4 linked regions of the Drosophila melanogaster genome follow. The protein of the gene in region 4 interacts with the protein of the main gene of each other region in a pairwise test. Each region holds a gene or a part of one and is shown on either strand. Other genes may lie near its edges. The genes, in order: CG4367, CG7987, KLHL18 and Neto.

Region 1 (4,205 bases), on a different chromosome or scaffold from region 4:
CAGGTATTACAAAGAAAACAAAAATACAGATAGTGTTGTATAATGTTAAAAACAATTTTTGAACAAAGTAAAAATGAAAGATGAACTATTTAGCTATTTATACAAACGAGGCAAGTGGGTAAACTTTGCGAGTACGTGTAAAATTTATAAGGTGCTTTTATAACAAAATATTTGGTAGAGAAGCGAAGGACCTCCTCCCCCACATTAATATATATAAATATACATCTATTTTTCTCGAAGTGCAACCACTGTATTTTAAAATGCTTTTAAACGATGGTGATTTAGAAACAAAGCCCAAAAAGGGCTGAAACACTTGTAATTCAGTTGTGAGCGATTCGCACATTTTGACGATAATGGAGAGTGTGTTTTTTATAGTTTTTAATCGAGGAGGGCATTTCAAGCCGTATCTGTACTCTCCTCAAAACATAGAGCTCAATATATATCTAAATACATCAGATTGATGGCATCATTAGTGGCAATCGAGATTACACACTGTTGTTTGCGGTTTGTTTAGTTAATTGTTAAAAGGAAAACGTAAACCAATAGATATTCTTAAAACGCGACTTTTGAGTTTTGTAGTGAATTTACCGACTTATCGTTTGCAATTGACTTTTGAAGGCTTTGTAAAATATAAAAGAAAAGAATGCATATATATATACATACAACTTATTTGTGAAGTTAACTAATAAGCCAGTTAATGTGAAACATATTTTGTAAGCCACGAATAACTTAAGACAAATTACGAATATTAAAATAACATACAAGATACAAATACGAACATAAACAGGATAGCTTAAAAACAACAAATATTTAAGCACTCAACCGTGCAAATCTCATCCGATCGTTAAGAACACGTCTAAGACAGGGCTTTCAGAATCAAGAATTTAATAAGTAGGATCCATCTTAGGAGGAGGGAGTGCGATGCCCTGCACCTCAAAGACGAACGGTCATCACCAACAATCCACACACACACTCAAAACACACACTCATATATATGTATAAATAATATATACGACGATTAATTTATTGAATAAAACAGAAATAAACATTCATAATTTTCAAAATGGCATTTATTTATGGTGGTTCGTAAATACTTAACTATTATTGTCTTATTGTTAAATGGAACTTTTTGAGGTGCATTTTTTATCAAGTATTGTTAAATCAATACATAAATGAAGAATTGAAGTAATAAAATAACCTTTTCTTAAAACAAAATCGTATTGTTGATGAACAATTTGGAACAATTAGAAATAAATAAGTTACATAATTTATTGAGACTAGCAGTATTGTTCGATTGGCCACCGCTGATGATAACCACCTCACTTCGATTCCGCCACCTCCACGGGCACCTCCTGGATAATACTTCTCGCTGAGGATAGTACACTGATATCAGCGCAGTTAATAAAGGTTTCCTGCGCCCCACAACCCATGGCGCCCGTCCCATCCTCACAAACACCCCAATTATTTCCCGCCGTGTAAGTCCAGCGCAAAACGCAATGAATGCAGTTGAGATCACTGGGCAGTTTCACGGTTACTGGGATATCGCCAGTGGTGGTGTTAATGTAGTACTTCTGGCTACCGTCGGTGAAATTCAAAGGATATTGGTTAAAGCAATCCTCCGACTCGCTGCCATTTTCGTCCAAATCGCAGATGTGGAAGCGGAAGTAGCCCAGATGATTGGCTGTGATCTTAACATTAATTTCCGCTTCATCTACTCCGGCAAAGCTCTTTACAATCACTCCACTGCCATATTTTCCACCCAACTCATTGGGTCGCGGCTGCTCCAAGCTCCAGTCGTCTCCGCACAGTCCACATTTGCCATCATTTTCGGTTTGTTTCTAAAGGGTTAAGAACATCATTGAATCAAATGAATATAGAATTTTTTTAAGGCACTCCTACCCAAAATCCACCGCAATATAATGCATTGTCATCGTAGTTTGTTGGCGCCGAGTTATCGTAGCGCCAACGCGAGGATCTTCCGGTTGGACTTAACATCATACCGTGGCCCTCCAGTTCACCCATCCGGTTTAAAAAACCCATGCTAAGAAACAGGATAAATTTATACGTATTCATATTGATTTCACTTTCTTTGTGGCCAAAACGAACTGGTCGTGGCCTTATATAGTTCCATATTGCCAAACCTTATCAGTTGCCGGGCAGTTTATGTTTGTTTTTGATTTTTCGTCCAATAACCGTGAATGCATCTTATCGGCTCACAATCTTAATTTCGTTTATGGTTATTGGTAGTTAGAATTTGGGAGAATTTCTTGTATCTGACCTGGAAAGTGTGAAAACACATATGACACATCTAAGCAATACCCGTATTTTTTGGTAACCTAATCATAATAACTTGGAAGACTGCTTTATTATGCTATTATTATTTAGCCCACCAATGCCATTTTGATAGGAGTTCAAAGGCTTGGAAAAATTCTCACGATTTCGCAAAATTTGTTAGCCAAGGTCAACGATTCTTAAGTGCAATTACTTACTATTTTAGTTGGTTTTGACTTCAGCACTTTTCTGCCAATCATATATTGTAGTACGGTCCATACAATAGCCAAAAACGCAAATGTTTTTTTAAACAACAAATTTAGAGCACTTGCGCGCAGCTAAAAAAAATTGGCCACGTTTAAGTTCAGGGATTAAGCTGCTCGTATATTAATAAATCAGCAATTATTTAGTTTCGATTATTCCATGATGCCTCCAGATAAAACATGCGAGTACTTTGAAGCCACTATTTTCCTTTTTCATGGCCCTTTGGCTCAAAATAAGACATATATTTTAGCACATACTGCAAAAAAAGATGCATATCTATCTTCAGATTTCATAAATTTAAATTGCCCTATAAACACAATCTATTTGGTCAACTTTTGCGGTTATATGCTTTTGTTTTATCGATACAACGTGTTCTCAGAATCATCAATTAAGCATTAATAATCAAGGTGAAAGCGAACAAAATATTGAAATTTGCAATGAAAAGAATCGAACTATAAGTAACGTAATTCTGTTCTTTAAAGCCACTTCGCCTTCAATTTACACACTATTATTGTTATTATATATAAACAAATTTCTATTATTTTTTTTTGCTTGCTTTTTAGGTCAAAACCTAGCAGAAATACTGTATACCTGAAGGCCGTAGAACATTAACAAATTCTGATTTATACAATTTGTTGCATAGTTTTGGACTTAAAAAATATTGGTTATGATGTGTCTATCTCTAACATCTGTTTAAATAATGTATCTAAATTGGATAAGATCTCAAAATTAAACAGTAAATAAAACTAAATTTCTATAAATAGGAAGCAGCTCCAAGGACCCAATTAACTAATGTGTAAATGTTCACTCATTTATTTAAATAACTTTAGCTGACTATTTGGCATTTTGCATTTTCAGACATAAATGGCAGTTCGTTGAATTTTAGTCTGGATTTTCAGGCGACCTCAACCGGAGCCACTGGATCTCCGCCACCGACCAATTCCTTGACCAGGTTGCGACCCCAGTAGATGCTCACATCGGCGCAGTTCTTGAATGTTTCCTGTGGGCCACAGCCCAAGGCTCCGTTTCCGGAATTATCGCAGATGCCCCAGTTGTTGGCTGAAATGCACAAGATGTTCAATTAATTTTCACTTTAAGTTCCATTTACGTTCTGGCCACCACTTACCACCCACATAGGTCCAGCGGAGGACGCAGTGAGAGCAGGTAAGACCCTCCGGCAGGACGACTGTCACATCGAATTCGCCCATCTGATCGCCGATATCCTTTCTATCGCTTCCATCGATGAATCGCAGGCGGTTCTGATCGAAGCACTCCTCCGACTCGGCACCGAAGGCGTCCAGGTTGCACAGGTGGAACTCGAAGTAACCCAAGTGATTGGTGGTGATCTTCACGCCCACGGTGATGGTATTGCCAGCCACGTAGCTCCTGGTCACCACACCAGCTCCACCGATGCTTCCTCCGATCTCGTTGGCACGGGGCTGGGCATCCAGGAAGTTGTCGCCGCACAGACCACAGCGACCTCCATTGTTGGACTGCGTCTGCGGGTTTACGAAAACATATTTGATGGTAAACGTTTTGAAGGTCCTCGTTTATAAAGAATACGACATCTTTTCGTACCGTTGAAATCAGATTAAATAATGGCATACCATAAGAAAGAATACTATTGATGTCCCTAGAACATGATTAACCAACACTGGAATAGGTTTCTA
Region 2 (8,577 bases), on a different chromosome or scaffold from region 4:
CACAGAGGTCACATTGATTGCCCTAAGATCAGCAGATCAATTAGTATGAATTTTAAATTCGGAACTCAGTTCTAACTCACTTGTAGCTGGGACCATCTCCGGTGGCCAACTGTGCGAGAGTGGCATCCAGAAGTTCCAGAGCCTCCTTCCTGCTGTTTCCCTCCAACTGGCTGACACCGCCTACCACCTGCTCATCGGCTGCTTGGGTGGCAATCAAGCTGACGAGAACCAGACCCAAAATACACAAAGATTTTACTACGTTCATGTTGCTCGCTCGACGACTCTGAGAGAACTGATGAACACCCGGCGATGTGGCCCATTTTATACCTGCCATCTCAGTGGGAGATCAACAATGGAAAAATACAATAGGCTCTCTATGCCATCGATCCAAGACTTGACTGGCCCATCATCAGAACTATCAATAACCAGAACCTCACTCGGGGTTTACAATATTTAAGAAAATTGCTTAGAAAGGCAAAATAAGTGAAAAAATAGTTTTAAGATTCGAAATATTTTTTTTTAGAACATAAACTACGGTATCTACGTGTCCTGATATTTTCGCAGCTACTATCCAAATATTTATAGTCAATATTCAAATATTTATAGTCAATATTCAAAGGTGCGCCCCCTTTAAATAAGAATCTATTTCCATGATTAATAAATATGCATATGCAAATGAAATCGTTTACTTATATTCTAATACGGCTCATTGGCGGTAATTAATTGATTTATCAGATGGGCGAAAGCCGCTTTTCTGTGAGAATCGTTTTGATCTCTACTTCAGTTAGCAGTTGCGGCTTTAATTGAAAATCTGTGCAAATGAGCCGAAAACAAGTCACCGTACACCACATATGAAAACATATAATCATGGCTTCAAATTACACACAGACTTCCGGTATGCTCTTATCAGTGTTTCTATGAGTATGTACTACAAAGGTCAGTCGATATGTATTAAGACCCACATGTGCAAGTTTATAAACATTTAACCAATTATAAAAAGTATATTACATGCCACTATCGCAGTTTCCAAGAAAATTTAAGATTTCTAGGAGAGATTTCAAACATCAGAAAAGGTTACATGAGCCCATCTTATCAATCAGATTCAATCTATACGTGATAGCAAAATTTAAGGTAATGAAAAACCATTTAATGATGTATTTATTCCAGCATACCAATTCTTCAAAACAAAAGCTGAGGTACAAACTTAAAAGCCTTACGAACTATTCTCTCTATAATAGGTTTAGGTTCCATATTTTAAATAACGCATAAATCAACGATATTTTTCGATGCACGATACCTTGAGGTAATTTACTCCGATTTTGTTTGTATATAAGGATAAGATGTTTCAAAAATACAAGGCTCCGGGCGAGTGGTTTAGGTAGCTTCCATTTAAATGTGAATGTGCACATGTTCCAGCAGCTGGGTGCGATCATAAAAGATGGCCGAGCACATTTCGCACTCGAAACTGCGAGTTTTCCGCTCCGATTTACCAGCTGCCGCCGCTTTAGCAGCCGCATCCGCGGCGTCAGCTGCGGAAACGACCTCCGAGATGGAAAAGAATCCGCTGCCCACATCGCCGTTGTTGGCACTGGCAGGTACGTTTACATTGTAGGAATCCACCCCGTACGAGAGGTACGAGGATGAGCTGCTGCTGCTCACCTTGGTGGCAGTGTTCGATTTTTTGGCCACCACTCCCGGGGATGCCGACGTCTTGCTGGCTACGCCACCTGTTGTTCTCTTGCTGCCTGCCCGTGCACCATTGGCAGTGATTTGTCGCAGATGTCTGGAAGTTCTAGCAGATGAAGAGGACGAAGGAGTGCTGCCGCTATGAGCGATGACTCTTTGCTGACCCTCCAACATTTCCCGCAGATCCGGAGAAGTTGGTTCAATTTTTATAAGGTTTTGCTCCTCTTCGTGCAAATATTGTGGCGTGGTGGATGACTCGCTGGTAAAGCGAAGACGAGAATTTCTCTCGTGCTTCAGTGGAGAGCGGAGGATCTCCTCCAGATCATTAACAATGCTCGGATTAAACTTCTCATAAGTCTTCTCCCTGAGCAGAGCAGCATCTATCAGTAGGTTATCATCGTACATAAGTTGAACACGCTGTTGTTGTTCCTGCTCCTGTTTGATGTGCAAGGGACTGGAGCTGATCTGATTTGGCGGATGAGTAGCTGGAGAAATGATTTCATAGTCATCCACCATATTTGAGGCACTGCTGCGGGATTTGTCGAGGCTCAGATTGTGCGACTCCGTGCGACTTATATAGGTCTTCGAGCGCGTTTTCTTTGCCGAACTACTAGTGGAGTCTCCGCCAACTCCTTTTGTCACCTTGGCTTTCTCTGTGTGAATCATTCGAGGTCGCGAATTACTGGCAGGAGGTGCTTTGCTGGCTGTTTTAGTGGTTGCTGCCCTCTTGCGGCTCCGAGTGCTGGCAGTGGAGGTGGAGGCGGAGAATGTAGTGTCAGATGTGGTAGCTGAGCTATTCAAATTTTCGGCTCCTTCTACAGACTTCGCCTGAACTTTTCCCTGCTGCTTCGATCCACCTCTTGTGTTGGGTATGTTAGCAGACACAGCGGAGCTAGCAGGCTGCAAATGAGTGTCGTTGACCACTACCAGCGAATCGATCTGAAACAGAGCCACTTGACTGTCGTGCAGGAACTTTTCCTCCCAAAGGCGATCCGATTGCTGACTGCTGGTGGAATCATATCTTGGCTTAGCTTTGCCCTTATCTTGGGCAGGTTTTGCCGCTTTCCCATTGGTCACGGGTTTGGCATCAGCTTTTGTGGCTGCCGAGCCCCTCTTTCGCTTTTCTTTTTTGGGTGATTCGGCCATGTCGAAGATATCGTCCACGTTCTCCACATCAAAGTCGCAGAAATCGATGTCACTGGCACACTCCTCTGCATCGCCTTCTCCTATGGCCTCTTCCTCATCACCGTTGACATGCTTGTTCGCCGCCCGCATGTGAGCGATCTCGTGAGGCTGTAGCTTACGGCGACGCTTGTACTTGCGCGGTCCCGTCTAAAAAACAATTCAATTCTTTTAATTTATCAAGTCTCTCGAAACAAAGGATTTTACTTACAACGGGCTGTCGCTGCTTAGCTGTGTTTGAATCACTGTGTTGGATCAGGTGCTGAATAAGGTCATTGGACGATGCCAGGTCTTCGGAACAGACTGTGCAGTGATAGGTGTTCCGCGCTACATCCAGCCCAGAATGATGGGAGCGAATGTGTTCCCGCAGCACTACCCGTTGGTTAAAGGCGCGTGGGCAGACGGAGCAGGCATATGGCTTCTCGCCGGTGTGGATTCTCTCGTGCTTCCGCAGAGTACCACCATCCGCGAAAGCCTTCCAGCAGTAGCGGCAGCCATATGGCCGCTCACCGGTGTGGATCCGTACGTGAATCTGCTGGGAACTGCGCGAACCAAATGTCTTGCCGCATTCGAGGCACGGAAAAAGCTTGCCAGGCGTAGTAGTGCTGTGCGAGTGTCGATGGTTGGAGAGCGTACGACCGTCGGGGAATTCTTCCTGGCACACCTCGCATACAACCGACTTGTCCCGATGCGAAGCCATGTGCCGCTTTAGACGCGCTTTGTTGTGGAAGTTCTTTCCGCACTTGGAGCACGAATGGCACTTCTCGCGCGAATGGTCCCAGGCGTGCTTTATCAGAGCCTTGCGATCGCGGCACTCTTTGCCGCACAGAACGCAGGAATTGGCATTCAATTCACTGGGATGGCGAGTGTGCAGGTGACGCTTAATCGCCTGCTCCTCGTAAAAGCTAATGCCGCATAGGACGCACCTGAAGTTATTCAAAATGAGCCTTTAAAATGCGGTTTTCTGCTCGTGATCAAGTTCATTTGACCGAACTTACTTGAAGGGCGGGAACCTAGCATGGATTTCTGCATGGGCGAGCATCTCTAAAGCGCTAGGAAAGGACTTTCCGCAAGTGTTGCAACAGTGACCAGAAGAATCTTTGGCAAGCTCCACGTCTCCGCCAGCAGTGACATCGGAATTGCTACCAACAGCTGCCTGATCCGATGGCTTACAGTGCATCTTGGCATGACGTCGCAGTAGATCCTGGCGATGAAAAGAGATCCCACATTCGTTGCAATAGAATTCGCCATACAACTGCTCGTCTGCCTCCGATTCACTGCCGCTCTCCTCCGCTGAGGCAGGATCGTACTCCGAGTTGCTCTCCTCGAACTGATGAGTCTTCTGGTGCTCCTGCAAGCTGCTGTTGTCCCAGAACATCTCCTGACACTGGTTGCATTCGAACGGTGAGTCCACGCGGTGATTCTAACGAAGAAAAAAAGGAATAATTAGTGGATGATTTTGTCAATGAACTGGTTAAGCTGGTTTTAGGGAAAAATTTCGAGTTGAGTATTACCTTGGTGTGTGAAACTAGTGCCTTTTCCCGCGCAAAGGCCAATCCGCATTGCTGACACACAAAAGGTTTGCTGTGATCCAGCACCGGAAAGTTTGGCTGAGGAGGCGGTTCGACAGCAATAAACTCCGACGTGGTAACCACAGGCTGAGCCGGCTCAGGCTCCATGTATGGCCTAGAGTCCTCCACCGACTTGTCGGAAATCACAATGAACTGGCTGCTTTCTTCCTTGGGCTTCAACCGACTGATTCTGCCTCGCGACGGAGCTGCTGGTTGAGCTACCGTGTCTGGGTAACTGGCCACCAGCTGAATCCCGCCCTCTTCCACAATCTGATGCTGTTGATGGACATTCTGTTGCGCGTTTTCCTGCTCCTGTTGATGTTGGAAGAGTGGCCATTCCTGCTCGTAGTAGTGATCGTCCAGTTGCCGCTGCGTCTGATGCTCGAATTTAATGGCAGAAGACGAATCGGCTGCCGCCGCTGCTGCCTCGGCATCGGCGGCATCCTGGGCCTCTGCGTGGGCCTTGAAGTGACTAATGAGCTCTGCTCGTCGTGAGAATCGCGCTCCACACAGCTTGCAGAGGTGCGGTCGATCATTTTGGTGGGCCAGCATATGGTTATTCAAGGTGGCCTTCTTGCGAAAGCGCCGACTGCAAAAGTCGCAGGGATAGGGCCTCAGCGCAGTGTACTCATCCTGCTCCATGTCCAGCAGTTCCTGTGAGCTGCTAATCCCAGCTATCTGCTCGGCAGCAATCTCCACTCTGAAAATCGGGAAAGAAAATCAATAGGAAAAACTTCAAAAGATGCATAGTAGGGCAAAACTTACCGCTCGGCGCCTTGGTGCTGCACCCAGTCGTCTGTGATTACCTCCTCGGTGACCACCTGGGCGTCATCGTCGAAGGATTCCGCATAGGCCACCGTGGTGCCGTCGGCGGTGACCAGGACCGTTCTACCAGCTTCGTTGGCAGCCATTATCTCACTTAGCTGACCGTCGCGGGCCATGAATATAAGATTCTCGGCCGCCACATGGTCCAGATCCTCACCCGAGGCCCCTGCTCCACCATCCGACTCCAGGATGTCCACCTCGGAGGAGTCGCCCGCGGAAACGTGGTGCTGTATCCACTGGATGCCGCCATATCGCTGGTTGTTCATCACTCGCTAGCCCTGCAAAATATGCAGTTCTCTCACTTCGTTGCACACATAAACAAACGGGAGGCACAAAAATATCCGTTGCGAGCAACAATCGGTGGCACATGTGCTCAAAAAGGCCGAAGACGGTGGGAGAGGGAGAGCGACTACGGCGTTGCCAGATCTTTGGTCGATGACATTCAATAGTTACTTTAAAAAAAAAATAGCTAGATAATAAAATATAATGAATTGCAAAATACAAATTAACTGAACTACTGGTCAGAAGAATGCTTGTATTAATATTACACATAGTACATAGTTTTGACTTAGATTAAATTTTGTATATTGAATTGTTGGAAATAACTATTCTTTTGTATCTTTAAAAAAAGAAAATTATTCAAATTAAACGGATGTATCTGAGACTGCTAACAATTTTAATGACATGTTAAGTGTTAGCACATAAAATAAAATATTTTGAATCTAGCATTTTCGTTCTTGAAAATTTGCACACCACTGATTTCCAACCGCCGCACACACTAGTCATCTCGCTTCCACTCACGGCACTCGCCTATCCTGACAGCAATGTTCGTGTCTAAGCTTTTTTACATGCAAAATATTCCAACTTATAAACACCAATTTGGACCATAAATGAGGTTAAGTCGGCGTTTTTATTTATATTCCAGACCGCAAGCTTGGCGTAAACGTAAACAAAGAGCTGGCCAATTAATTTATATGAAAAAAAGCCACAGACGGTAACAGCCATTGCGGCCACGCTATTACATCACACATCACACGCCCAAAATTCTTGCACAGCCGATACTTTGGAATATTTTATTTTTAATTTTCAGCCGAGTTTGTCGGTGTCATTTTGAGGTTAAATAGGTCTACCGTCCACTAAGTACTGTTGCTGCGTTGTTTTACCTTAAATCCAGTGTTTATGCCGTTCGCATGCTTCGTCTTTAACGTTTTTAAATGCGGCGAAAAGTTTTCTCGCAAAATGTTCACGAACGACCGGAGAAAGAGGAATTGCCATTGCGTTGCCCGTTCTTGTTCTTCTTCCCACTGCTATTCTCGGCTCGGTGGGGGCTGCCACCTGCCGACGGCGATGCCACATCCAATAAAATAGTTCAATGTTAACGGCAAAAAGTGCTGTAAAGTAGCGGTTGTAAAATATAGCGTCTATTCATTGGATTTCAAATTTGCTATAGATTTTCTTAATACTAATTTGTTGATAAACACGTGTTGAAAAACAAAAGGCTGAACAAGAAATCAAGAATAAGTAATATATTGATGAATCCTTTAAGTTCATTAGAAAATCACTTCCTTTACAGTTTGAAAACGAGTTTTGTTCAGACGCTTTTGGAAACCACTTGAAATATTTTTAATACTGTTTTGTATTATAAGCCGCCCTTTAACACAAACAAGTTCCTGATGCGGAAGCAAATTTATTTATTTCTTTTACTTTCTTTAAAATGTAATTTCTTATATCTCAGAACCAACTTTTACTTCTGACTCGTGTGAGAAAACTGCTGAAGAAGTTGCGAATCCTGCCGATTCGGGACCTCTTGGTGGTGGCTACGATCAGTGGCGCTGCAGTTGTAGTTGGCGCCCAAAATCTCTGCAAGCACTCAATGTGAGTGGGGTAAACCCGACAGTCTATGCAGCTGGCATCTGTGGGGGCAAGATCACAGGTCACGGCCGAAATACCGTCTTGGAAATAGAATAAGACCAAAAACAGCAAAATAAACTTAATCGAGACCATTTTGGACTACAACAGATATGTGACTAAATCATATTCGTATAAATTCAAAAATTTGTGGTTGGAGTCAAGCCAATGCAAAGATTTGCTCAGGTGTTTTGCGGAGTGAACTAATATTTAAATTCGCGTAAATGCGTAGAGGTGGGCATTTTATTTTTAACCCTATAGGAAAAAAGTATTTAGCCTGGGTTAACTGGACATGATAGTAAAGTTAATTTACTTAAACAAGAGGGAAAGCTACCCTTAGATACCCATAACTCAGCTAATCGGCTAGATCCCGCCAGATGTCGCCCCAGATCCTGCACCTGCAAGATCCCGTTAGAGATTTGTTCATATATAAATTTCGATATTTCCATTCCCTCTCCAAAAGAGAAAGCACTCTCTCTTTTTCGACTTTCTCTCTTACCCCCGCAATTTAAAGAGCACACTATTTACCCACACATATGCAAACGAGCGCCAAAGCGCGCCAAACTTTTCCACCCCTCCCCCAGCCCAGTGTTGTTGTTGTTGTTGTTGTTTCCCGATTGCTCTGCTTTTATTTTTATTGCTCCGCTGGGCAGAGCAGAAACAGAAACGCAGGCAGCCAACGAGCAGCGGCTATTTAATTTTCGTTTTGGCTTTGGCGTGGATCGGATCGGATCGGTTGGCCATAGTCTCCCCGAATATACAAGCCAATATACGTGTGTATTTTATACTGTGCCGAGTGCAGCGGAAAAACTGAACCAAAAAAAAGTCGAGAAAAGTGCTCGTGACTGGAATTCCGTATTTGTTTACCATTGTGTGTTTGTGTTTCCATTGCTATTTGTGTTTCTGTTGCTCTGGAAAAGGGAAAACAATCGAGATTGGATCAACAAGATTAGCGCGCCACCTAGCGGTCGGATTGGGTGAGTTTTAATGGGATTTGTTTTTCTTAGTTTTTTTTTTTTTTTGTAATGAAATCCCATTGCATTGCATTGCAAAAATCAACTGAAACTGAAAACAAGTGAAAAGTAACCGCCGTCCTTTCGACAGGCGGCGACGACATAAAATGTCAAACTGTCGATCAACATCAAGGCGAAATATGCAAGATGCGTGTCTTAAATGCAAAGAGGGCTTTTCATAATGCTACATGCTAAATGCTGTTGCAAATGGTCGTCATTTATGCAATCTGCGGGATCCCCCACACTCCCTCGCCCCCTTTTTTAATCTCGCTGCTGATCTGCGGGCTACGCGTTTTGCATGCCTGCTCTTCTCCGGAATGCGTTTAATTCGAATTTGAATTTCAGCGCTTGTGTGAAATGCACTAAAGAAAATACGGGAATACCATTAAGAT
Region 3 (6,247 bases), on a different chromosome or scaffold from region 4:
TGAAAATAGACTACGTTCTTTGGAAATAGTTGGTTATAAAAGAATGTTGTGCTTTTTTATGTATATATTGCAGTATTTATGATTGCATTCAATATATTAGCCATGAATATTTTACATTTTAAATACATCAAAATTATTACGGAATCGATTCGATTCGATGCAACTATAAGATGCATTCCATACCTGGAGTCTCATTTTGACTTTTGAGCCGTATTTCAATCATTTTGAAATAAATCAAATTTAAAGCGGCCAAGCGGGTTCGTCTCAAATGCGTCACAAAACGAGCCGGAAAAGTCGTTGCAGCCAGATTTCAACGGGTCGCGACCATCAACAATGCACTTGAGGCGAGGTCGCGGCATTTGAGATAAGACAACACCCGGATCACCCGCATCACCCGCATCACCCGCAGCAGGCGAATCCCTCCACACGCCACTCGGAAAGGCCAAGTGGATGCCACACACATCCGGGGGCCAGCTCGTTGCAACTTGCAGCCACTACAACGCCAGTTTTTCGGTCTAAAATTAAACGTGGAAGCATCGCCGCTTCCTGCAGGCATCTTATCTTCGCATCCTTTCTTGCAGGACTGCCTTCCGCCTTTTCGGGCAATTGAGTCGTAAATGTTACAGTGTATAGAGAGCCCGCTGAAAAATTTGCATTTAAATTGCAACAGATTTCGGGGCAAAAAAAAAGCCAATTCCTCACCCTCCAAACAATTAGACGGATTTCCAACTAAACGAGCTCCAGTTTGGTGGTGATAAACAATTGTCCCCGGTGATGCAACAAATATTTACTCCAACCATTTGGTAAACATAATTAGCATTTAATTAAAATAAAATTGCCCATCGATAGACAAGCAATTTGTGATTTGATTATCAAAATCAAATAAGACCGCCGCCACAAAGCCTTTTCGCTTGTGCAAATAGCCGTGCCGCTGCAGAGCCACATAAATATACATGTAGCCATTGGCAATCGGGAACAGGACCGGATCGTATCCGGATCGGCGATAAGGTCCTCCATCGCTGGAACCATCTGATAACTGCGAAATATGTACGTTAAGTGTGCAATTGATTGGATTATGACCCTTTGCTGTGCGTATGGCATTTTATGGGTCAGTGATAGACGGCAAATTGATTTTGTTTTGGTTTGGTTTCGTTAGCCTCTATTTTTGGATGCGCCATTGCCACCTGTTGCTCCGAATTAGTTTTGCTGCCGCTGCACTTTGAGCAGGTGGTGCAAATCGAATTTAAAATTGCATTCCGCGCGTGGGAGGTGTACAAATATCAAGGGAAGAGATACTCCGCATGTTCAACTGAGATGCAACGAGGGAAGGTACATTTATTCGTTACAAAATAAGTAGAAAATTGTAGATAGACATTGGGACTTGGGTAATAATATTTAATCATTTTTAATTAAAACTGAAAGTATTTTAGGGACAATAAACAAGTGCACTGCCTTCCATAAAGGCCTGCTTATTGACCATCAACTTTTTGCGCTGCCCTCGCCATTTTCGCCTTTTTGTCGCTCAGATTGCTTTGTTATTTGTCAACCATTTATTATTGTTCAAATAAAACGTATCCGCCGCCCATATGGATCGTCGAAACACAATTGATTTATACGATGTGCAAAAGGTTGACAGTCGTCCCTTTACTGTAAGGAAATTACTGAACTTTAACAACCTTCTAAAACATTTCAAGATTACAAATGGCGAGGGTAATGACTGAAAATGAATACAAAGAATACGTCTTTAGATAACTTTAATGTTAAGAGTCTAGTTCAATTTAAATTAAATTAAATAAAATATGATTTAAATTGGTGTGAAATTGATTTTAGTTATACATAGGACTATTTTACCCGTCTTACAAAAATAAACCAACCATTAATAAATTTTTACATAACATGCGTTATACATGTTTTTATTTGGAGGATTAATATTGTAATGAGTATTTAAGGCTAGGCGTAGTAACTAAACAATTACATAACTGGAATGACAAAATCTATAGAGCTGTGAGTAGTATATGAACAATTTTGATAGAGCTGCAAGAGCTGAGCTGAGTTGCATACGAGGCGGCCGCACGAGGTGCCACTAAAGCTTGGTTACCCTCAACAATCATATCTAGGCTAAACTATATCGATTCAATTCACATAAATTACCTAAGACGAGTGTGGCTAGAGAAACGGGTTTGGCAGGCGAATCGAGTGGGTTACTCGATCCGTATGACCCCGGCTCCGACACCACCACTGTGTGCGCACATGGGCGGCATAAAGGTCCATTTGTCGGTCTCCGGATCGTACACCTCGACTGTAGACAAATTTGACTCGCCATCATAGCCGCCGATGGCCCACAGTTTGCCCATGTTGGCGGCCAGAGCCACCCGCGAGCGTTTGCAATTCATTGGTGTCACCAGCTTCCAGGTGTCCGTCTGAGGGTCGTAGCACTCTACGGATCGAAGGAATGAGTTGCCGCAGTAGCCGCCGCACACGTATATCTTTCCGTTCAGCGTGGCCACGCCCAGTCTACAGCGACGATTCAGCATGGGCGACATCTTAACCCAGACATCTTCGGCCTGGTCGTACCGCTCCACCGAATCGAATATGGACAACCCATCATGACCGCCAAGGGCGTAGACGTAGCCGTTCAATTGGGTAACTCCACCAGCCGAACGATATTTCATCATTTGAGCAACCTTCGGGTAGTGAAATTAAAGTTGGATCAGTTTTCTTACCCATCTGGGTTACATAGAATGTTTGTTTACTTACAGTCTTCCAAGTGTTAGACTTTGGATAGTAAACTTCAACGGTGTTGAGCGACGTGACGCCGTCGTAGCCGCCGCACACATAGATACAATCATCCAATGCGGCCACGCCCACGGCGCTGCGTTTGCAGAGCATGGCACAGCCCTGGGACCACTTGTTTTTGCGCGGGTCGTAGACCTCAACGGTGGACAGACGTTCGGTGCCATTGAATCCACCAAAGGCGTACAGCTTGCCATTCAGAACGGCCACACCCACGCGAGATCTGTCGAAAAATTGGCAATTAGTATGGGATAGAATAGAAATAAATGCTCCTCGCACACTCACCTCATCATGGACATTTGTTCGCCCATTTTCCATTTTTTGGTGAGCGGATCGTAAATCTCGACCGTGCTCACAGATTCCCCAGTGCTGGCCAGTCCTCCCACGGCGTATATTTGTCCGGTAAAGAACTCACCGGATCTCTGGCGCGTGCGAAAGCTCTGCAGCAGACCCCTGCGCTCGGGCATGAGGTGAAAGTCCTTGGCCTCGTCTAGGAGATCACGGCATTGGTGCGAGGATCGAATGAGTTCCTCGCGGGCCACACGGTCCGCCAGGAACTGAGGCGAGAGCAATGGCAAACGCACTGCAGCCAGGACCTGAGGAAAGAGCTCAGAGCGCTTGTCTTCTGCGTACTTGACCCACTTCATGCAGGCCTCGAAGATGACCTCCTCGGTGCGTACGTTGAGTTCGTCCCGGCGCATCAGCTCCAGCAATTGTTCGCAGTCCAGGGCGAGAAACTCCTCCGACTGCGAGACTTTGGCAAAGTTTTGATCAATATACTTGTCGGCAGCGTCGATTAGCTGCCGGCAGATCATGGAGTCGGCGAAGGTGCGGATTCCCAGGACATTGTGCGGATGAAAGCGGGAGATCAGGAAACTGGCACAGGCATCCCGCACGTTGGACAATTGCAGGAAGCTGGCGCCCACCATCAGGTTCTGCACATTCTGGTTGTCGATGCGCACTTGGCCGCTGTAAACATAGTTGATCAGACTCTCCAGGGCACTTGGCTCTATGGCGCTCTCCTTCATGGTGATCTCCTTGATCCGACTCTCTGCCATGTTGTTGGTGAACATCGCATAGAAATACGGGATGGTGGCCGCCAGCACAACGCGGTGCGCTGAGAAGGTCTGATCTTCAACCTGCAATAATTGGGATGGCATTTTATATTTAGACGCTAGATAATGAACGTATCTCTGAGCTGCGGGTGATTGAATGCCCCAGTCTGCACGCAAACAACCTTTAGGGTGACATCGCACAGCTTGCCCATCCTGCGGATTTCCTTGAACAGGGGGAAACTCTCGCCGAATAGCTTATCATGCTTGTAAACAAAGTATTGATCCTCCACTTGGCTATTATCACTCAAATCCATCACTTTAACGGATCAAGAAAATGATAAACAGTAGAGATGCCAAATGTTGCTTGTACTGCAGAGCTAGTGGTGGTCAGTGGTGAGCGGTCACATTAATCGATAGTTGAGGTTCCTTCGATAGTTGAACAACACCAATAGTAGTGAAACAAATTTATTGAATCATATTGTTTAATTTTAAAGGTAACGTTCTTGGACCAAAATGTAATTTCATAATACTTATTAAAAAGTTGAGCCCTTTTTATGCAACAGTGATAATTAAATCCTTAAAAAGCACATATTTTTAAGACAATATTATTCTTTCATTTAATTTTAATTAGTAATTTTTCCGTTTTTGCGTCACCTTCTTAAAAAAAGACGCTCATCACTAATTGGGCGGTGATGACAGCCCTATCAGCTGTTAGTGTGGCTGGAGTGTTTTCTTCGCTCGGATTGATTAAGGGTCCAAAAACATTTTCGAGTAATCTGGGTCGCTTGCTAATTGGAAAACCACTGATCTGAGTTAAGACATAAATGTTTGGACCGCTATTAAATGCAAGGATACGAAAATAGCAAGTAACATGGAAGCCGCATCACCGAGGGAAACCCAGGTGAGTAAAAAGGTGTCGCTAGAATTGATGATGACGTCTCATCTTGTTATTTGCATTTGCAGAAGAACCCGAATCCGATCGAGGCGCTGAGCAAAGATGAAATCATCAGCAAATACAAAGGCCTGCTCAACATCGCTAAAAAGGCGAAACAGGCAAAAGATGGTAAGTTTGATGGAGAGTTTCAGGGAATCTTCCAGAATAATGCAAGCCACTCTCTTTCAGAACTCACCGAGGAAAATCACCGACTCAAGGATGCCCTTAAACGGGCGGCGGAGAAGCAGAGCAGCCTGCCAGCCATGCAGGAAATGGTCCAGGACTTCACCGATAAGAACCTCATCCTCACCGAGGAAGTGAATAATCTGAAACGAAAGACCAAAGAGGATGCCGATCGACTGACGCAATTCGAGATCGAGAACGAGAGCCTAAAGCGCCAACTTGGGCGACTGAGTGATGAAAACGATGCCCTCCTTGCCAATGTGGATCGCATGGAAAAGGCTATGCAACAGGTCAATGCTCTGGGTAACGAGCAGCGCAAGAATCTGGAACTTTTGGAAGTGGACATTGCCAAAATTAAGGAAGCGGAGGCGGAAAACGCTAGTCTTCGCCAGCAAGTCGCCACGATGGAAGAAGAGTCGAGTGTGCTGCAGCAAAAGTACCAAAACATCAAGGAACTTAACTCTGAGCAACGCAAGAAGTTTAATTCTCTAAAGGACCGCTTCATTGATGTACACCGCAAGTTGAAGAACCTCAAGGAGTGCAAGTGCGTGCTGCTGGAAACGCAGCACGAGTACGCCGCATCCGTTTCCAAATGGCAGGTGGAGATTATCAAAGCTTCGCAACTGTTGTGCGCAAAGATGGCATCCCTGCAGGCCGAGAATGAAAAACTGAAGCTGAACAATGGAAAGTCAGACAATAATCCTCAAACAATTGACACTGGAATTGACCGCAAGCGCTTGCTGCAAAGAGTTCAGGAAATGGATCGGCTAGCCAAAATAGTGAAGCAGAAGCAAAAGAACCAAAGGAGCAATTTGAATGTGGAGTACCTACTTAAGAAGATAACCGCTCTCGAAGAGCTTGCAGTCATTATAAAGCAGCAGCATAGAATTGACAAGGAACAATTGATAAGTGTAACGAAGGAGCAGGAAAACACCAAAAATCACGCCAGGAACCTTAATGTAAGCTTATTCCAGACCAAGCTTGATCAAATGCAAAATCTGGTCAAAGTCATTGCAAAGGAGCGTGATAATCAGCAGAGGAAGTTGCAGGAGTTGGAAGCCATCTGCATAGAACTGCGCCAACACAACGAGGATTTGCTTACGCGATACCACCTCAAGGAGCAAGAGCATGGAGAGTTGCTAACGGAGATGCGGGAACTGAACGAGGCGCTCAAAGGACGCGGTGATGCCATTTCACGCCTTCAAGAACAGCACGAAGCGGAGGTCAAGCGACAACGAGACTTGGAGGCTCAACTATCTAATAGTCAGCAGGCGGCGCAGGA
Region 4 (6,017 bases):
TTAAATGCATCATTATAAATAAAAATAAAAAAAATGCGAAAAAAATAATCAAATAAATTACTGCCAACGAGTAGAAGCCAAAAAGTGAAAGCAGTACTTTATCTGGCCGTCTCTTTCCTTGTGGAAATGGCCATGTTGGTTTTCCATTTTCATGGCATTTTGCATTTCGCTACTGCCTGGGTCTGGATTTTCATTCTTTTCTTTTCTTTTATTTTTTTTTTTATTTTTATTATATTTGGTCAGTTTTCTTTTTCTCCCTTTTTCTGCTGTAATGAAAGCGATTACAAGCCGACAGCAAAGCAGACGATAATCAGGGGGAGAGGCGGCGGGTTGGTTTGTGGAAAAGCCATTTCCTTTGCTTTTCCACTTCCTCCGCCCCTTTTGTAAAGTTGTCGGGCAAATTTATGACATTTATTGAAATCGTTTTTCTTTTGGCTTTTCCAGCAGCCCGAAAAAAAATGGCCCATTCCCATTCCCATTCGCATGCCCATTTCCAGGCTTTTCTGCTCTTTTTCCGTTCTGATTAGTTGTATGCCATTGCGTTTTCCAACCACCCAAGTCCAGCTGCAATTAGTTTCACATTCCACGGGAAATTGCTGCGAAAATCGCCGCACAATGCAAAAAGGCTTTAAGATCAGACTTTTTTGCGGCCAAAAATAATACGGGGAAAGAAATGAAAACACTGTGGACAGACACAAATAATAAATAAGAAGAAATCCCAGCAAATGAGAGAGGACCTGTTGCTCGGGACACAAAGGAAATGGGTGGTCAAAGGAGGCGGAAAGCAGTTAAGCTAACCGAAATCGCCAAAGGAAGTTTGGGCTTAACTGTAAAAACTTTTGGCTTAATTTTATTGAAATAAATGGTTACAAAAATTGAACAAAATTTAATCTCAGCACAGCTGCAGAGAGATAAAACTAAATGGAGTCCAATGTGGAAAAACTAGAAGGGAAATTACAACATGGCTAAGAAAATTAAAAGGATCACAAAAACGAAATGGTTGAATTAAAATCAATGGAGAAAATCTGAACAACAATATAATCACACTCAGAAAATACGGAGTACAAATAAATATTGCTATTAAACATTGATTTGTAATTGTTGAATGCTGGATACATTCTTCTTGAACAAAATAAGAATACACAGAAGAAGAAAATAATATGATTTAAGCTTTCTTTTGGAGTAAGAACTCATCCTTTACTTTAGTCCTTAAAAGGCAGGAATAATCCTTTTCCCTATTTGACCAGCTGGTCAACATGCCATTAATTACCATCGAAGTTTCCCTTCAAAAATAAAAAAAACCCTCGTGAATAAAAGTTTACCACAAAAATTTTGTTTGCCTCGCCCAAATTTATGAGGGCAACATGCTGAAAAAATTTAAGAAAACCGAAATGGGAGCAGCAAAAATGAATGGAAAATGAGAAGAAAAACTAAGAAATCGACGAGGGCGCTGAAAGTGCGTGTATAAGATAGCCTTGAGCCACATATGTGGGAATGGGATATAGAAGAGCGACAGACGAGATGAACATAATGCAAAACTTTGTCAGCCACCGATAGAGAGAGATGGCTGCACAGCATGCGAAAGAGATGGGACGATTGGAAGTCTAGTGAATTCATTGAGACGGCAACAAAACAGAGAAAACACTGGGAAATTAAGTTAATGGACAATTAACAACCAACACAATACCCCGTAAACAATTAATTTATTCAATCTACTAATGCAATAAATAAAGATTGCATTCAGTTTTGCAAGCCCAAATGATTATTATTGTTTTGCGGAGTATATTTTTATTTAACCTAATAGCATAGTTCATCAATCCCTAATCCATACACTGCGTATTCGCGAGGGTATTTAAAGAAAAGCCGATGGAAAACCTTCGTCAAAGTTGGCGCTAACGGAATTGTTGTAGTTGTAGCTTGGAAAATCTTCTTCAATAACAGCAGCAACAACACAAAATACCCATTACGCATATGTAATAATTTTTATTTTCATTTTTTTCCGAATTTTCTTCTGTTTTTTCTTTCTCTTCGTGTGATCACAGCTGTGCCGTGGACAAGGAAAAGCGGGAAAACGAAAGGGAAAATTGGTGAGAGAAGTGGGAAAGCCTGATGGCAGCCGTTTAATTTTTGCTCTTGTTTTTGTTGCTGTCTTTTATTAATGAATTTCTCTCATTTTTCACCAATTCTCTATAGCCTCTGCGTTCGTGTCTTTGGTTTTTATACAATTTTCCCCTCTTCGCTTACTCGTTCTGCTCTTGTTTTTTTACTATTTGGGCTATGTCTAAAAATATGTCCGCCAATTCGCTAAGTGGCCCCAAACTTATCTATACGGGATACATAGAAAATACGGTCGAAGTTTCCAAACGAATGCGACAAAATAGTTTAAATTAAACATTCATTCGAAATCTTTCAACATATATTGTAGCTTATATGAGATAAATAATAAAAACAACAAAAAATCGAACACTTTTCAAAATGTTTAGAAATGTTTAATCGCAAGTATATTCGATCTAAAACTGCTGAACAAATTAACAATTAATAATATGTATAAATATATCCCAAGACGCATTAAAATAAAATCAAAGACTTAAAGCGCACTAATAAAAAAGAAAAACTCATTTAAGTGGGCACTTACTAGGAAATTACTAGAGATTATTTTAATATTGCTTTAGAATCCGCATAATGGACGCCTTCTGTGCAAAAGGAATTTTTATGACACATCCACTTTTTGCCTTTTCATTTCCATTTTGTTGGCTAAAACCGAACAACTTTTACAACTACAGGCTAAAAGAGACTAATGTGCCCTCTGGATCATTGAAGCTTGATTTATGCAAATTTCATTCAGCTACCACAGCCATAATGCCTTGATTTGATTAATATATTCGCAAACATATTTATTGCCTATTATGCGGAATGCAGCAGTATACGTATTTATTTTATAATTGTTATCCTTTGCAACTTAATATTGTCACTAGCCCACTAATTAATTGGTAAATATCGGCAAATAGATTTGTTATTTTAAGAAAACACGGAAATATAATTTGTTTACATTGCAAAGCTGCCATCTAATATATATATGTATATGTGCATATGTTTAATTTATATATATATGTATATATTACTATTTGCGTGTTGTCGCCTCCTTTGGCTGCGTTGCGAAATGTTGTTTTTATTTGTTTTTGTTGCCGCTGCGCTCCGCGAAAATATCTCAATTTTTGGCGCGCATTTTTCAAGCCGGCAAGCTTTTCACACACACACACTTTCACACTGGCACTGTCACTGTCACACAAACAACCAAACAAAAAAATTTGTATTTCTTTTGAACAAAAGCAAAACCTTAAGATTTTAAAATCGTATCTCTGGTGCTTGTCTATTAGCAACCAATCGCGATGTTTTTTTTTTTTTGGTAGTGAAACGTTAATATCGAATGTGCTGTCACCGGAGAAAGCGAACCGCGCCGCGTGTCCGTACACGTGGCCAACTCGACGTAGACTGGGCGTATACGTAATGCCGGAATTTGTGGCTCTGCTGCATCGAGTCTGCCGCTCGACTGTTGCCGCTGCCACGGCGGATGCTGCCACTGCTGTTGTCGACCCGCCAGTGCTGCTTACTTAGCCGGCTTTCCCGACAACTCTGGCTAGTTTTTCCAGCCGCTCACTGTCTTATTCTTTTCTATCAACCAAAAAGAATTGTATTCGTATTTATTACTTTATTATGTTACTACCTAAAATTGATTGAGTTGTTTGCCCAATATCTATAGAAGTTTTTTTTTTAATACTAACAATCATTAACATAATAAAACAAACTAATTGGATTCCACTTGTTAAAAAAAAAAATACGTATTAATAAAAATATCTAATTTTAGAAGAATATCACACCATAAAATAAAATACTTGCGAGAATCTAGCAATTTTTGTCCATTTCCCACGCTTAAAAATTAATTTCCCGAAAAGAAATTTAAAAATTATAAGCTGATATGTATTATCTTATTTTTCTAGCCTCTCAAATTGACAGTACTATTTATGACGGATCTTAGCTTTTAATTATTTCTTTTAAACAAAAATTGTTTCCTATTAGATTTACGGATGTGAATATGAAAACTGACAGTGATCTATAATATCTTGCTTTTCTATAGAGATTAAGAAATAAAAACTTAATAAAAATAAATTATGGGAAACGTCTGCTCGATATCCAGATGCATTTCTTAACATCAACATATTTTCGCCGCCCACTTTCAAGCTCATTTTAGTATATACATTTTGATATGGTAAAGAGCCAAAAAATAGTGCGATTTATTTTAAAACTTAAACTCATTTTATCACAACATTTCACCAAAACGTTAAACAATGATGCAAGTATACGGGTTTCATGCGAACCTTAAGAAATTGGAAAATAATTATTTTCAGCTTTTTTTCCCCCCCAAAATATTTGGCATCTCTGAGGATGCTCCACAAACGCTCAATGTCGAGTGAGTGGGAATACGAGGCGATGGCCGAAAGCAGCCGAAGTGCGTTCGTTTGTGGCACAAAATTTCACTCGAAACGGAATTTCCCATTGTTCGAGTGCGAGTGAGATGGGAGTGAGCGGGAATTTTGAGTGAGTTGTAGGTTTTTTACTCATTTCCGCTGGCACTTCCGACGTCGTCCTGGGCCAAGGAAGTTGTAGCCACGCTGACAAGGACAACAAAGTCTGTCTTCATTTTTTGTTCGGCTTCTTCGCAAAATATTTTATTTTATTTGCTTTGGTTATATTTTGCTTTCTTTGTGTTTTTGTTGTTATTCTCTTCTTTTTTTTCGTTTTTTTTTTTTTGGTGAAATGTCAAATGACATGCCTGGATCACAGACTGTGGAAACTGTTGTGAATGTGGTTTTCTTAAAGCCTCAAGCGATTTGATATTTCCTTTGCGATTCGTTTGCATACATTGTACGAAATGTGTGCGAAATAAAAAAAAAAAACGACTTCTGTGGTCTCTTAAAAACTACATTCCCTTCATTACAACATATTTTTAATAACTTGAGATCCCGCAGATTACGTGAAGTTTCTCCAGACACTCTTAATTGCCTTTATATTAGCTTTCGAAGCGTTGCTATGACAGAACGCGTTAAACACCTCAAATAAAAGTAGAAGCCTATCATCTAATACTCTCTCAAATTAACCAATTTTAAAATCTATGTCATTGCTCGAGCTGCTTAAATTAAATTGATTATTAAGCTGATGGAAACCTTAAAGTATAACCAACAATCTGATGTTTATTATTGCAAAAACATATAAAATTTCCAATTGTAGGTTGTAGTTACGCTTACTTGATAACCTGATTAAGTTTTAAACGAAAGGCAAACCAAAAGAGAAGTTGTCATTATTTTCATTACCTCTCCCAAGCTTAGCACGTTTGCAAAATAATATAAAATAAACTGATGTTTCGAATGCAAACTATAACAAGCCGTCAGCTGTGACTTAAAATCGATGTAATCACATTAATACCCAATTAACCTTAACCAAAGAGTATCCTTTGAGTCTGCCAGCTTGAAATTCCAGCGTAAAAAAGTGTTGCCTGCGAAGCAAAGGGACAAAAAGCAGCGCCATGGCTGCGTTTTTGCAGCAGGATCTGGGACTAAGGGCAACGGAGAATGGAGAATGGAGAAAGCTGAAAGGAGAAGGACCTAGGACAACTGAGACCAAAAGCCGCATTGTGCGAGGCCACAGGATATGGGTAGGATGGGCAGGATGCGCTGGATGGAAGGGACGCGGGGTCGAGACGTTCCTTTGCTTCAATTTGCTGTTCTATTTTGCTATTTTGCCGCTTCCACAGGCCACAGGGCAGCAACAACAACAGCGAAAGGCGGTCAAAGGTTGCCAGAGTTACAACCAAATGAGTAAGATGCGAACAAGAACAGGCGAACAAGTGTAGCACCAACACCCACACACACACACACACACACACACACACACACACACACAGCGACACCCACAGAAGGAACAACAACAATACCGGCAGCAGCTGCCTGTTGCCTCAGTAA

Evidence for each region.
Region 1: the proteins of Neto (region 4) and CG4367 interact in a two-hybrid assay, tested with the Drosophila melanogaster proteins (one large-scale study listed by BioGRID).
Region 2: the proteins of Neto (region 4) and CG7987 interact in a two-hybrid assay, tested with the Drosophila melanogaster proteins (one large-scale study listed by BioGRID).
Region 3: the proteins of Neto (region 4) and KLHL18 interact in a two-hybrid assay, tested with the Drosophila melanogaster proteins (one large-scale study listed by BioGRID).

The regions. Positions count from the first base shown.
Region 1 is NT_033777.3:20,302,883-20,307,087, forward strand, and holds CG4367 (uncharacterized protein), read right to left. Parts: upstream 2,096-4,205; 5' UTR 2,074-2,095; coding exon 1,900-2,073; intron 1,839-1,899; coding exon 1,320-1,838; 3' UTR 1,073-1,319; downstream 1-1,072. Other genes in the region: CG4362 (uncharacterized protein), read right to left, coding at 3,431-3,594, 3,662-4,034.
Region 2 is NT_033777.3:14,569,344-14,577,920, forward strand, and holds CG7987 (uncharacterized protein), read right to left. Parts: upstream 6,545-8,577; 5' UTR 6,428-6,544; intron 5,717-6,427; 5' UTR 5,531-5,716; coding exon 5,205-5,530; intron 5,140-5,204; coding exon 4,383-5,139; intron 4,292-4,382; coding exon 3,867-4,291; intron 3,795-3,866; coding exon 3,080-3,794; intron 3,019-3,079; coding exon 1,390-3,018; 3' UTR 1,129-1,389; downstream 1-1,128. Other genes in the region: Cys (Cystatin-like), read right to left, coding at 1-22, 81-265; CG44094 (uncharacterized protein), read right to left, coding at 6,996-7,268.
Region 3 is NT_033777.3:12,006,212-12,012,458, forward strand, and holds KLHL18 (kelch like family member 18), read right to left. Parts: upstream 4,224-6,247; 5' UTR 4,163-4,223; coding exon 4,031-4,162; exon of another isoform or gene 3,954-4,030; coding exon of another isoform or gene 3,933-3,953; coding exon 3,079-3,932; intron 3,017-3,078; coding exon 2,758-3,016; intron 2,685-2,757; coding exon 2,202-2,684; 3' UTR 2,152-2,201; exon of another isoform or gene 1,890-2,151; intron 1,718-1,889; 3' UTR 1,265-1,717; downstream 1-1,264. Other genes in the region: GCC185 (GRIP and coiled-coil domain containing 185 kDa), read left to right, coding at 4,720-4,749, 4,812-4,911, 4,972-6,247.
Region 4 is NC_004354.4:13,443,383-13,449,399, reverse strand, and holds the start of Neto (neuropilin and tolloid-like), read right to left. Parts: upstream 3,498-6,017; 5' UTR 3,123-3,497; intron 1-3,122.